Linked DNA regions of Coturnix japonica. The main gene of each other region encodes a partner of the protein of the gene in region 2 in a complex. Links are inferred from orthologs where the notes say so. Each region holds a gene or a part of one and is shown on either strand. Other genes may lie near its edges.

What was found. The genes of interacting proteins can lie anywhere in the genome.
Region 1: the proteins of RANBP9 (region 2) and GID4 are in contact, whole or in part, in a cryo-EM structure (PDB 7NSC), measured with the Homo sapiens proteins. The link is inferred for Coturnix japonica from reciprocal best matches to the Homo sapiens genes RANBP9 and GID4. Residues at the interface, in NP_005484.2 of Homo sapiens: Ser223, Lys224, Gly225, Arg226, Asp227, Gly228, Tyr229, Met230, Gly256, Asp257, Thr274, Phe275, Thr276, Thr277; in NP_076957.3 of Homo sapiens: Leu187, Arg189, Asp194, Glu195, Asn216, Asp218.
Region 3: the proteins of RANBP9 (region 2) and ARMC8 are in contact, whole or in part, in a cryo-EM structure (PDB 7NSC), measured with the Homo sapiens proteins. The link is inferred for Coturnix japonica from reciprocal best matches to the Homo sapiens genes RANBP9 and ARMC8. Residues at the interface, in NP_005484.2 of Homo sapiens: Tyr271, Gly298, His299, Ser300, Leu301, Gly302, Ile303, Asp337, Asp340, Tyr341, Arg343, Glu344, Thr347; in NP_001350870.1 of Homo sapiens: Gln245, Arg246, Asp247, Val277, Leu278, Lys279, Ile317, Ile320, Thr321, Asp322, His323.

What each region holds. Positions count from the first base shown.
Region 1 is NC_029529.1:5,014,106-5,018,157, reverse strand, and holds the start of GID4 (glucose-induced degradation protein 4 homolog), read right to left. Parts: upstream 2,850-4,052; 5' UTR 2,737-2,849; coding exon 2,524-2,736; intron 728-2,523; coding exon 668-727; intron 157-667; coding exon 49-156; intron 1-48. Other genes in the region: ATPAF2 (ATP synthase mitochondrial F1 complex assembly factor 2), read left to right, coding at 3,202-3,301.
Region 2 is NC_029517.1:68,373,427-68,377,709, reverse strand, and holds the start of RANBP9 (ran-binding protein 9), read right to left. Parts: upstream 2,854-4,283; 5' UTR 2,548-2,853; coding exon 2,103-2,547; intron 1-2,102. UniProt on the Homo sapiens protein: May act as scaffolding protein, and as adapter protein to couple membrane receptors to intracellular signaling pathways. Acts as a mediator of cell spreading and actin cytoskeleton rearrangement.
Region 3 is NC_029524.1:2,407,720-2,411,924, reverse strand, and holds the start of ARMC8 (armadillo repeat-containing protein 8), read right to left. Parts: upstream 2,850-4,205; 5' UTR 2,655-2,849; coding exon 2,610-2,654; intron 668-2,609; coding exon 591-667; intron 1-590. UniProt on the Homo sapiens protein: Component of the CTLH E3 ubiquitin-protein ligase complex that selectively accepts ubiquitin from UBE2H and mediates ubiquitination and subsequent proteasomal degradation of the transcription factor HBP1.

The DNA.
Region 1 (4,052 bases), on a different chromosome or scaffold from region 2:
CTCAGCGAGGACTGCATCAGACCCACATTTGGCCCCCAATTTATTTACCCAGTGTTTACGATCCACATCTTCATCAGCATCCCACTTGCGTGTTAAGAAAGGGTGCTTTTTACTGATTATCTCCCCTTCAAAGAAAGTAGTGAGGGTTGGGTATTCCTAGGAGAGAAGAGAGGTAAGATTTATCACTTAGTGACCAGAACTCAGCAAAAGGCAGCATTTCACAGCAAGGATCCTACTAAAGAATCTTGGACATGCACAGTAAGTAGTGTCACACCCATGAAACACCTCTCACTGACTGCTCAGCACAGAGCAGACCACCCTGGGCGGATATGGACAGAAGCACATAAAGATCTCACTTGTTTGGGTCTTATGTTTTCTCCTAGCGTGCTGGAGGTGTGTCCAAAGCTGACTGCAGGGTCAGGCTGGATTCAGTTCAAACCCTAAGGGATGCCAGACAAGCTTCCCTCCTTTCAGGTCTCCCATCAAGGCCCATCATATTTGCTCTATATGCCAGGAACAGCAGAGTTAAGCCATTAACCTACTTAGCGGTCAATTTTGCTGTATGCTCAATCCCTCTGCTACCTCCTTCTAGTGGTAGCTTCTCCTACCTCACTAAGAAAAGCCTTTGAACAGCATCTTCCCATGCTGTTTTGCAATTAGCACTCACCTCTGTAAGGCCTTTAATCTTCAAGTATCCACAGAGATAGGAGTTTTCCATGTCCACGTGCTAGGAAAAAAAGTGCAAAGTCCTACTATTAGCATGCACAAGAAGGCACTCCATTGATCCAAAGCTATTTCTAACCCCAAGAGTTTCCAAGGCTCAGTTCTGCTTCAGCTGGTACTGAACATCCACCTCACAGTCACCCCTTCCCCAGGGCCGGGGGGGAGGCTGCATCTCACCTCCTCTGCTATGCAGAAATGAAGCAGTGGGATGCTTCTGCTCTGAGCGCTTTTCAAGCAGGGGGATTTTCCAAGCCTTCCCCTGACACCTCCAGATTGGTTTTCAAAGCAAGAAGCGAATTATTTAGGGAAGTGCAAACATCAGCTGTGAGAAGATGGCTCTTCCCCACCTGTGATCAAAGAAAAGCCACATTGCTCTGCGCTCAGTAACAGGGAGAGCAGGCAGCCATCTCTTCTCATCTGACACGCACAGAGCAGCGTCTTTAGCACAAAGATAGAGCCAGCCTCTGCGAGAAAGCAGCATGCAGTGAACTAAACAGCCATAGGATGTCTCCGTCAGAACAAACTGTAGTGGGTACAGTCATGCTGTTGACAAGTAGAAGACTGGATGTGAAAGCAGAGGGCACAGTTCACACTGCCCCATCTACTGACCCTGGGGCTCTGACTTTGCTCCCCAATGCCGAGCCATGCACCAGGCTGCAGCACTGCTGCACACCCAGCCTGGGTGCCCCGATCCAAGAGACTCACAGCAGGAACAGCGCTGTGATTTGCTACAGGAAAACATGCATCAATGCCTGGCTTCCCCATGCACTAACTCCACACCTCTACCCAAATTGAATGTGCCAGCACCTCTGACTAAAAATAAAGCACGCAGGGTGACAGTGACTCCAGAGAGGATTAGGAAAGCCCCATTCTGCAGAACTGTCTGCTCACATTCCCATTACAGCAGAACTGCTGCACCCCTCCCCTGGTTCCTCACGCAGCCACTGGCACCATGGGATGAGGAACACAAAGCCCAGCACAGGGACCTGGATCCCTGCTGAGTTCCAGCCAGGCCTGAAATACAGGCTGTCCCACTGCTCGGGACTTCCTGGGCACCTCCCAACACGAGGCAGGATCCCACCCTTCCTCATGGCAGCCCAGAGGCACACGGGCACCCCAGGCCTGAGGGGAACGAGAAGGAGAGTCCTGCTGGCAATAGCAGGACATGGGGAAATGGTTTTAAGTTAAAAGAGGGAAGATTTAAGTTGGATGTCAGGGGGAAGTTCTTCACTAGGAGAGTGGTTAGGCCCTGGAACAGGCTGCCCAGGGAGGTTGTGGATGCCCCGTCCTTGGAGGTGTTCAAGGCCTGGTTGGACGGGGCCATGGGCAACCTGATCTATGGGGTCTCTATGGGGATCTATGGGGTCTCCTGGGCAACCTGATGTAATAAATGTGTATGTTTGGTGGCCCTGCCAGGCAGGGGGTTGGAACTACATGATCCTTGAGGTCCCTTCCAACCCGGGTCATTCTGTGATTCTGAGAGCTGCTGTTAAGTATCTCAGCAGCCACAAGGAGAAAAGGGGCAAAAGTGTGAGAGGAAAAGAGAGGAAGGACCCCGGGTCCCATCAGCCCTGAGGGGATGGAGCAGTGAGGGGCAGTGAGAGCCGGGTGGGGGCTGCAGGAAGGGCCGGGGCTGCAGGGAGGAGCTTATGGAGATGGGGGGGATCGGGGCCGGGCGGAATCAAGGCGAGGGGAACCCGGACAGCGGGGAGCAGAGGGGAAGGAAGGGAAGGAAGGGAGGGAAGCAGGGAAGGCCTGAGGCCCAGCGGGGCCCTGTGGGCGCCGGACACGGTCCCTCACCTGCATGACGACCTCCACCTCGTACGCGTTGCCTTTACTGCGCTGCTGCCCGCGGAACTTGGCCCCGCTGTACAGCAGGGATGTGGCCACTCCGGGCTGCGCCGTGTTGATGGGAGGCGGCGGCACCAAACTGCTGGCGGCCGCTCCGGACGGAGCCGATGATGCCGGTCCCGCCGCTCCGCCCGCTCGGCCCCGCTCGCTGCGCACCGGCATCTCGGGGGGGTCCCCGGGCGCCAGCGTGGCCGGGGCTCAGCGGCCGCCACCGGGGCCGCGCTCCGCTCCGCTCCCCTCACGCCCAGGCCGCCGCCGCCGCCGCCTGGCTCGGGGCCTCCCGGCAACGCCCCCGCGCTCTCCCATTGGCCCTCGCGAAGCGGCGAGAAGGCGGGGCGGAGCTCCGATTGGCGGAGAGCTCTCCTTCCCGGCAGGTTTTACGGTGAGGAGGCTGCTGGGAAATGTAGTTTGTTCGCCTCGCGCCTCACGCGACGGGAAGGCCGAAGGGGCAAAGCGCGTTCTGTGCTCCCATTGGGCGGAGCGGGGCAACATGGCGGCGCCCGGGGCGACAAGCTGAGCCGGGGGAGGCCGCTCCGAGCCGGGGTAGGCCGCAACGCTCCAGCTCCGTTCGCCGCCCCTCATCGTTCCTCTCGGCTCCTCATCGTTCTCTTCGGCTCCTCCGCCGCCATGTGCCGCCTCCTGCAGGCCCTGGGCCGCATCCCGGCTGTGGCAGCCCGGAGCCGCCCGCTGTGTCCGGGTGGGAGTCGAACATACGCCCCTCCCGCAGGTGAGGAGCTGTGGGCCCCGCGGGGAGGAGCCCGGAGCCCCGTGTGAGAGCGGGGGAACGCGGGGGGTGTCGGTGTGTGTGTGTGTGGGGGGGGATTAGTGGGAGCCCCCTCCTCAAGGTCAGCTCTTGCTGGCTGGGGGAGGGGTTGGGTTCCGGCCTTCAGAATGGGCTGAAGAAAGGAGGAAGAGGGAAAATGGGCTCCGAGGTGGGTAAGGAGGTGGTGGGGCGTCACTGCGCTGCTTTTCCATCAGTGGGTTTGAAGGTTCCCTTTGGTTGCGGGTGGGATGGCGGGGAGCTCCACCAGCCCCTCCCAGGCACGTGCTGGGCTGTGCAGCCCCTCTACAGATATTGCTGGAAACACGAGGATGGGAGTCAGGGTTTCATTGAGTATCATGAGGCCAATGGGAACACGCTGAGGTGCCTGAATCCTCCCAGAGCTGTGCTCCAGCACTGCAGCATTTCCTGAGGCCCTGAAGCTTGTAGGAGGCTGAGTGGATCCCCATCCTTCTCTCTGCTGGGCCCGTGTTGGCAGGGCACAGTTCAGTGACAGCCAGGAGGTGGATTCAATGGGCTCAGCATTTACGAGCTGGTTGTAATTGTCAAGGGAATCTTCTGGGTGAGACGTGTGGGCTGCGGTGAGCTGAGGACAGTGGTTCCTCCCCAGTGACTCAGCTGCCACGTGCAACGTGTCTGACACATGATCCAGTTGCTGCTGCACATAGGGTTCATGGTTCCTCCAAGTGGTGTCTGC
Region 2 (4,283 bases):
CAGAAAAACATCTCCTACCCATCAAAGACCAGAGGAAATAACTTCAGAAAAACAGTTCTGTTGTCAGAAAACTACAGACACAGCAGGGAAAGCTTGAGAAACTGCATCACTGATGTAAGAAAAGAGAAGAACCAATTGTGACCACTGGCTTCTTTGGCCAGACCCATCTTCTCCCCCTTCCTTGGACACACTTCCTTGGTCCAGAACAACAGATCTTCATCTGTGTTCAGGCATGATTCATATTTTAACAAAAACATCTACCACTCTTTCACAAATGCTGGGCCTTTTGTGGTGCCTCTGAAGTTACCTAATATCCTAGAGGAAATTCTGTGATCCTATAAGATACTTTGAATGCCTTCTTTTGAGACCGCTACTTGCGGCTGATTTGTAGGGACAACATTTCAAAACACTAAGCACATTTCTGCATGCTATCTGCTCTCATGTTCCTCACTGAACCTCCTCATTTTCCTCCCTTTGACTGCATTCGTAGGGCTGTAAGATCCAGAGGAAAAAGGCCACAAATGTTTCAGTTATTTCCCCACGCAGTGCCTCAGGTAGGAGTGTCTGATACCTCACACTGCTGAGCCCAGGTGCCAGGCTGGTAACATGCACCGGGGCTGCCTTCACATCCACCTCCATTCAGCTCCCAGGGAGAAAAGAGGGGCCACTTGAGAGGCCATTCACTCCCACTTGCAGCTAGGAGAAAGAAAAACCCATTCATGACACCTCACCTCTTCACAGACCCCTGGACTAATTTAAGAACTCTCCAGCCTCCATCACTTACTATTACTTAAGAGCAAGAGAAATGGCATTTTATTCCCATAACCTACCAACTGTGCTTCACATCTTCCAGTAGAGCATCCACGGCATTTCCTACACTGTCTTTACTTCAGAGGCATATGGAGCCTGCTTTAATTTCTCCAAAGCAACACATTTCTGGTTTAATACTAAGGCGAAGAGGAGGAAACCAGAAATAGCACAAATAAAACCTGAAAATACACTTCTCCAATTACAGCGGCTGACCAGAAAGTCTCTAAATTCTAGTTCATGAGCAAAAAGAGCAGGGCAAAGCAGAACACACAGGAGGACTTGATGGCCATAAAGCTATGATCACCCTATGAAAACAAGTAAAAAGCAACTCAAACCGACTGCAGCCACTAAGCGGCAGAAAATACAAAACGCTTCTAAAAATACGAGGGCATGAAAAACTGAACAAAAGCCAGGAAATGTGAAGTTGGGTATTAAATAACACGTCCTTAAAGCACTCGGGGCCTCCCAGAAACCTGCTCTGTAGCTGGTCGCCAGCCTCCCACACTAGCTTCATACGGCACAGCACGCTTAGCATTTTGAACAGAGTATTCTGTATGTCATAATAAAGCCTCTCTATTAAAAAAAAAACAAGTCCCCGAGAGTACATTTAATCCTTTCACGGCAGCCAAATCCTGCCATGTGTTTGTGTTGCCGTTTTCCCCCTCCGATTAAACAGTAACATGTTTATCGGGATTTCACTCGAATTTCACCACACAGCACAACCCAGAAGGGTGACTGCGGGGTTGTTTCCTCCCCACCCGTTCGCTGGGCACTGACAAAGGAGCCGGCTCCTCGCCGCCAGCATTAGTGGTGGTGAAGCGCAGCCACTCTCCCCTCGGAGCAGGCCCGGAGCACCAGATGTGGCCGTGTTTTTTCAGGTCAGAGCGTACGCCGGCCGTTTCCAGGTTTTATGACATTTCATAACAACCAACACTCGCCGCTTTCCTACGCTCGCTCGGATCCGTACGCGCACACGGCTCGATTTTTATCTTCCTTCGGAGAACCAGCAAGTTGAACCAGGAGGCAAGAAGTTACCAAACCACCTTAGCAGACACAAGTCCCTCGGCCACCCCTTCCCTCGCAAAGCTTCATCCCCTTTTCACCCCTCTTCAAAGCACACCCCTGCTCCCTCCCCTCCCCCCCGTTTCCGCGTTCCCCGCAGGAAGGAGCCCCGCACCGCCGCCCCGGGGACGGCCGAGGCCGGGGCAGGGATCGCGGAGCCGGGCGGGGGGGCGCGGAGGAGGAGAAGGGCGCGGAGCGTTATTTCCTGTTATTGTTGCCCCGGCCCTCACCTTTGTAGTGGACGCGCAGGTTGCCCTGCGAGAGGCCGATGTAACTGAATTTGTCCTTGGGGCTCCAGGAGCGCGGCAGCGGCGTCTCGTCCTGGTTGACGGCCGGGTACAGGCGGTGGAGCCGCCGGTTCAGCTCCTTCTCCTGCTCGTTCAGGGCCGGGTCGCCGTGCGGGAACGCCGCCGGGGCGCCGCCGCCGCTCCCCGCCGCCAAGCCCGGCGCCCCGCCACCCCCGCCGCCCCCCGCGGGCCCGGTGCTGCCGGCGGCTGGAGGCGGCGGCGCGGCGGTGGCGGGCGGCGGCGGAGGGTGGAGCAGGAGCGCGGCGGCAGGCGCGGGGCCGGGGCTGGACGCAGCCGAGGGGACCCCCGGCGCCGGCGGCGGAGCGGCGGCCGCCAAGGGGAGCGGCGGCGGCGGCGGCTGTTGCTGCTGTTGTTGCTGCCCGGACATCCCGGCTCCGGCCTCCTCCTCCTCCTTCTCCTCCTCCTCTCCGCGGCGGCGACCGTCAACGGATCGGCCCGAGGCGGAGCGGCGGGCAGGCCCCGCGCTGCGGAGAGAGGCGGCCCTACCGGCGGGTCACCCCTAGCCGGAGCGCCTAGTAGCGGGGGGGGGCGGGGGCGATGACGACGGCGGGGCTGCCCGATGGGAGCCGGGGGGCGCGGCGGAGCAGAACCAGGCCGGAACGGGCCGATGGAGCGAGCGCTGCACGGAGAGCGGCGCCGGGCGGAAGCGGAGCGGGCCGGGAGCGCGCCGGGCGCCGCGGCGGGGCGGGGCGGGCTCCCCCTTCTCTCCTCCCCGTCCCCTCCCGTCTCGCGTGCGCGCCCGCTCCGTCCAGCCCCGGCGTCCCCCGTCAGCTGCCGCCCGGCCCCGCCTCTCCGCTGCACGCAACAGCGATGGGCGCTGAGGTGCGACGGCGGTGGGCGTCGCTATGTGGTGGAGAGCGGGGCTTGTGGGCCGTGAAGCTGCGGGGAGTCTCGGTGGTGGGGGAAGTTAGGTAGTGTGTCTTCTTACCCACGCATACAGCGTTGTTGTTTCATAAGCGGTTGCTTGCGGTGATTGTTTCACGTGAAGGAGAACCTCCTACAAATTTGGGACACGTTTAGGAGAGGAAGGACTTCTCTAGAGCCTGAAACATTGGGAGCTTCAGACAGTGTTTCCAGCTGCCAGAAGGTTGGAGAACAAGCACGGGAGCAGGAAATAGGGAGGTTAATTGCTCTACACCCGTGCCAGCGAGGTAATGCAGGTGTGATGCGCACCTACGCTGATAGGAAGCTGAGTGGGTTCCTCAGAGCCAGCAAGGTATCTGTCAGGTGAGGCAGTGCCATGATGTAGTGCAATGGCATTCTGGCTTGTATCAGATACAGGGCAGCCAGCAGGCACAGGAAGGTGATCATCCCTCTGTACTATGCACTGGTGAAGCCACACATCAAGCACTGTGCTCAGTTTTGTGCCCCTCAGTACATGAAAGACATTGGACCCTGGAGTGTGTCTGGAGAAAGACAATGAAGCTGTGATGGTCTGGAGGACAAGTCTTACACGGATTCCCTGCCTCTCACAGGCTGTCCACCAGCATGTCTAAGCTCTCTTTCAAGCATCCTGTAAACCTTAAACCTCGGGATTTTAGAGTTTATCTATCATTTGGCACTCATCAGCTATCTGGGGATATATTTGCTCTGTTCATAGCTTTTCTGAATTTCAGTGAGCATTTTTGCTATCGCTATCAGCCGAGGCAAGTGTCATGGCTGACACTTCCTTTCCCTTTTTTCCCACTGCCCACTGTGAGATGGCTGCCATCGAGCTACAGTGTGCTGTACAACGAGGTGTGGTGGAGTCGCCATCCCTGCTGGTGTTCAAGAGGCATCTGGATGAGGAGCTATGAGATATGCTTTAGTAGCTTCTGGTAGCAGTGGTGATAAGAGGATGGTCGGACTATGTGACCATGTAGGTCCTTTCCAACCTTGTGATTCTATGACCTTTTCACTGAGGTGGGATATGCTGGAGGCTGTTCCAGGAGACAGAATTAATTTCTCTATGTAGTGGTATTGCAACGTTCCATTTTAATCAGTATGCCATTTATTGCTCCAATGCTCCATTGTCTTATTAGCTTTTCTGACTACAGCTTCATGAGGATTAGAGAGAGCACACAGGTATTTACATAAATGCCTGGTGTCTGCTCTTCAGTCAAT
Region 3 (4,205 bases), on a different chromosome or scaffold from region 2:
GGGAAGCGACTTGCTGTGTAGTTACAATGGGAAGCACATAGCCCAGAGACAGCAAGGAAACAGACCTTTGCATCAGCTTTACTACCCACTCAGCAGGGCAAAACTTCTACTTAATCTTTCCATCATTCCCACTACCACTGGCACACAATAGAAATACTGAAATATAATTTGCATCACAATTTATTCCTATGGAAGTGTTTTCTTTCTCCTTGCGGTTCCCTTCATATTGACGGAAGCCATGCATCAGAAAAAAATCAATGCTCAGGCATAGCAGCAGGGGAAGACAAAAGAGGCAGGTGTGATGACTTGGCAGAGGACAAGAAGAGAGCAAGAGGAAAGCAGAATGGATTGAAAACCTTCTGTGAATGTTTGCTGAACGTTTATCCTCATTGCTGCCAACTGGGAGGCTGGCTATATGCACCACAAAGTAACAGGGTGTTAAACCAGTACCATCATGTTAGTATTAGAATCTCCATCAAGACCTCTCAAAAGAGATAGAGCTTCTTCCCCCTGACAGACAGCCCTAGCAGGACTGCAGCTAACCCAGCTTATGCTTAACCAACAGCCCCAAAGCCTTTCAGATAACTTACATGACACCTTGCAGGACTTTCTGGGGATCCAGGTCAAACAATCTGTCGACGTAGTGGCGGCTGCTGGCTGTTACCTCCTGCAGAGGAAAAACAATGACTCCTTTTTAATGAGTTTTGATCAATTCATATGATGGCTGATAAGCAGGAATAACTAAAGCAACAGCAAGTCTGTTGCTTGTTGAAACCTACCAGGCAAGATAGCAGCAAAACCACAGGATCATATTCAAATGCGCAGTACGTTACTGCTGGGCAACATCTGCACAAAGAATTAACCCTGTGTTTAAGTGGGACTTAAAGAATAAGATGTACTTAACATGGGTAGCAGCACATTGCAAGTCAAAGCAAGTTAACGGAGTGCTGCTAGGTGCTTGTGTGGTCACGAACAGGACACACAAAAGGGGTCTCCTTCAGATATCAGCACTACCTTCAATTCCCATTTTATTGTGTTCAATTACTACACAGAAAGAAAGAAAAACAACCATGAATTCCTGCAAGAAAAACTTGATAAGAGCTGTTACTGTTGCTCAAGAACCGTGCTGACAAACAAGCTCACGAAGAGAAGGAAGCTCACATTAAGACACTTTGCTGTAGGGCGCCTTATCACCTTCACACACTGCAGGGACAGTCACCTGCTCCAATGACTTATTCTGTTTGAGAAGATCCAAAGTTGGAGATGGAAAACATTCCAAAGGTATGGGTGGGAAAGGAGAAGGTAAATTTCCCTCTGGATTCTCACAAACACGTGACAATGTATTTCCATTATCTCACTGTTTTTTTCTTCTTTCTTGCCAACTCAGCATTTTCTGATACTCTTCCCATTAACAGTTTTACTTGAACAAAGTTATAAAGGAATTGCAAACACTCCATTGCTTTGCAAGCACCCACTCTTGGCTAAACCTGTGCCTCTTTGCTTGGAGACAGCAGAGCTGCCAGCAGCACGATGGGGTCTCACAGAAGACTGGGAGGAGGAGCTGGAGGCAGCAGGACTCCTCAGCCTGCAAGATGGCTCTTCAATTATACTATGAAAGTCCTACAGGCGAGTCATTCAGATTTACGGGCTGATTTTCAGGTGGTGCTGTGTGGAGCCAGGAGTTGGAAGTGATGACCCTTATGGGCCCTTTCCAATTTGGGAAATTCTATCATCCTCTGTGTAGCAAAGAATAGATCTGAGGACAACACGGGACTTCCATGTGTCTGCTCCACATCCTCATCCACAGAGACACTCTGGGTTTTGGAGATTCCTCTGCTTTCTGTTTCTAAAACACGCTGCTTTATCAGCTGGGGGAGCCTCATTCATAACCTGGGGCCGCAGCGAGCACAGGTTATGTCCATAGGACGTTCATACCGAGGCCACCAAGTTCTCAGGGCGGGACCCTCAATAAGCGCTATTTCCCCGCACCGCGGGGTTCGCTTAGTAACAAATCTACACCGCAGCCCCGCGGGTGGCAGCGCCCCGCACAGCTCGTAGGGCGGGCGCCGACCTCACGGAGGCACCGCGCGGCGGCGGCCAGCTCAGCCCAGCAACTCCGCAGCGCCCGGCCCGGCCCGGCCCTGCCCTGCACGCCCCCTCCCTGCGGGGCCCGGGGCGCGGGCAGCCCCGCGTGGGGGCGGGCGGGGGCCGGGCCGGAGCCCAACGAGCGGAACCGCCGCAGGAGTTCGGAGGGAACCGCGGCGTGAAGCGCGTCAGCGAGTGGGGGGGAAGAGGGGAAACACGGCGGAGCGAACCGCGAGGTGCCGCCGCCAACGCACAGCGGAGGGCGGCGCTGCGGGGACAGAGCCCCGAGCGGGGAGAACTTGTCGGGACGGGGCACGAGGGGGAGCGGCCACCAAACCGCCGCCAAACCGCCTCACTGCGGCCCGTGCCCGTTCCCGCTGCCCCCCGCCGCACAAAGCGCCGGGACAGTCGGGCAGGTGCCGGGCCGTCCCCGCCGCCCGCGCAGCCCCAAGGTCAGGCCCGGCCCCGCGGCCGCCTCCCCGCCCCGGCTCCGCAGGGCCCGGCCGAGGCACCGCGTTACTCACCGACAGGACGCTCATGCGGAGCGGCGCCTCCAGCACACACGCCATCTTGGCGGACGCAGCAGCACCGACAGCTCCGCCGGCGGCGCCCTCACGCGCGCGCCGCTGTGGCCGCCGCTGGGCACGGGCTCATGGCGGGGCGAGGCGCCGCCGGGCGGGACGGGGGGGCCACGGGGGGCGGAGCGCCGCAACCTCGCGGGCGGCGAATCGGCCGATGCAGAAACTGCGCTGCGTGCTGCCGGCACAACCAGGCGGCGCGTGCGCGATGGGCTCGGCGTGACGCGCATGCGCACACCGCCACCGAGAGACCGGCGGGGAACGGAGCCTGAGTGAGAGCTGGGTGCAGCGCTGGAGGGGGGGGCTGAGAGCAGAGCAACGGCACAACCACCTCCATCATCCTGCCGGTCACACTGCTCTTGATGTGACCCAGGACACAATCGGCATTCTGGGCTGCAAGCACGCATTGCTGGCTCACATTGAATCTTTAACCCTGCTCACCAACCATCCCCTGCCCAGCCTGTGTGTGCTGGGCATTGCCCTGACACAAGTGCAGCACCTTGTACTTGCCCTCGTTGAGCTCCACCCGGTCTGTGCCTGCTCAGTCAGCTCCTCTGTATTCCCCCAGGTAACCTGCTCCTGCTTTAACCCCTACGGACTTTCTTTTTGAGCTCAGTAAGTCCAGTTGCATCCTTGTTGATCCACTGAGGCCTCCAGGCATTCTTGGCTGCCTTCCTTCCTTCTCCTCAGCACACGCTGCTTCTGGGCTTGGAGGAGACGGTCCGTGGATACCAACCAGCTTTCTTAGGCCCCTCTTCCTCCCACGTCACCCTGCCAAGCAGATCCCAAACAGTTCAACATCTGCTTTCCACATCCAGGGACATTTGGAATCTCTACAGATCATGAAGTTACCATTCTGTCTTGGTGTTCTCCTGCTTTCTTGAAAGCCAAAACTCATTAAGCAGAAAGGGCAACAGAACAAACCAAACCATAGAAAGCCAGACTAAAACAGGCTATTAAAGGTGACCTATGGCTGGAGTAATTTTTCAAGTTCTTACTATATTTTCTACTTTAAAATTGCATATGATACTACAGAGGGAACCCTTTACTACCATGATAGTCTTCAGATCACAAGAAAACAGGCATTAATTTTTTTGCACCATAGACCCAAAGGATACTGAGCTATTTTCAGTATATTGGTTACTTTAATGGTGACTTCAGATGACCTGAGGTTTACTCTGAACATTCCTAATCCTTCATCCTATCTTACTACAGCTCTCTTTGGTGGATGTTGTGAAGGGAAAAGCATTAATACCGTCCTACAACTCAGTCAACAAGACAGTGTCCTTTGGGGGTAGGAGAAATTAAGAACCAAGATGTTAATGGTATCAGCACACCAGTATAGAGCTGTTAATCAGACCTGTACGGAGCACTGACACATATATATATATATGAATACTTATATGCCGCTTTTTCCATGATGAACTGCTGAGAAACAAAATGCATCTCAGAACATGAAACTGATGGTAAAGATGGAAGTTTAAGTGTTTGCCTGCTACAACCCACACCCCCAACCCATTTCACCCATGGTTCCCTGCTCCA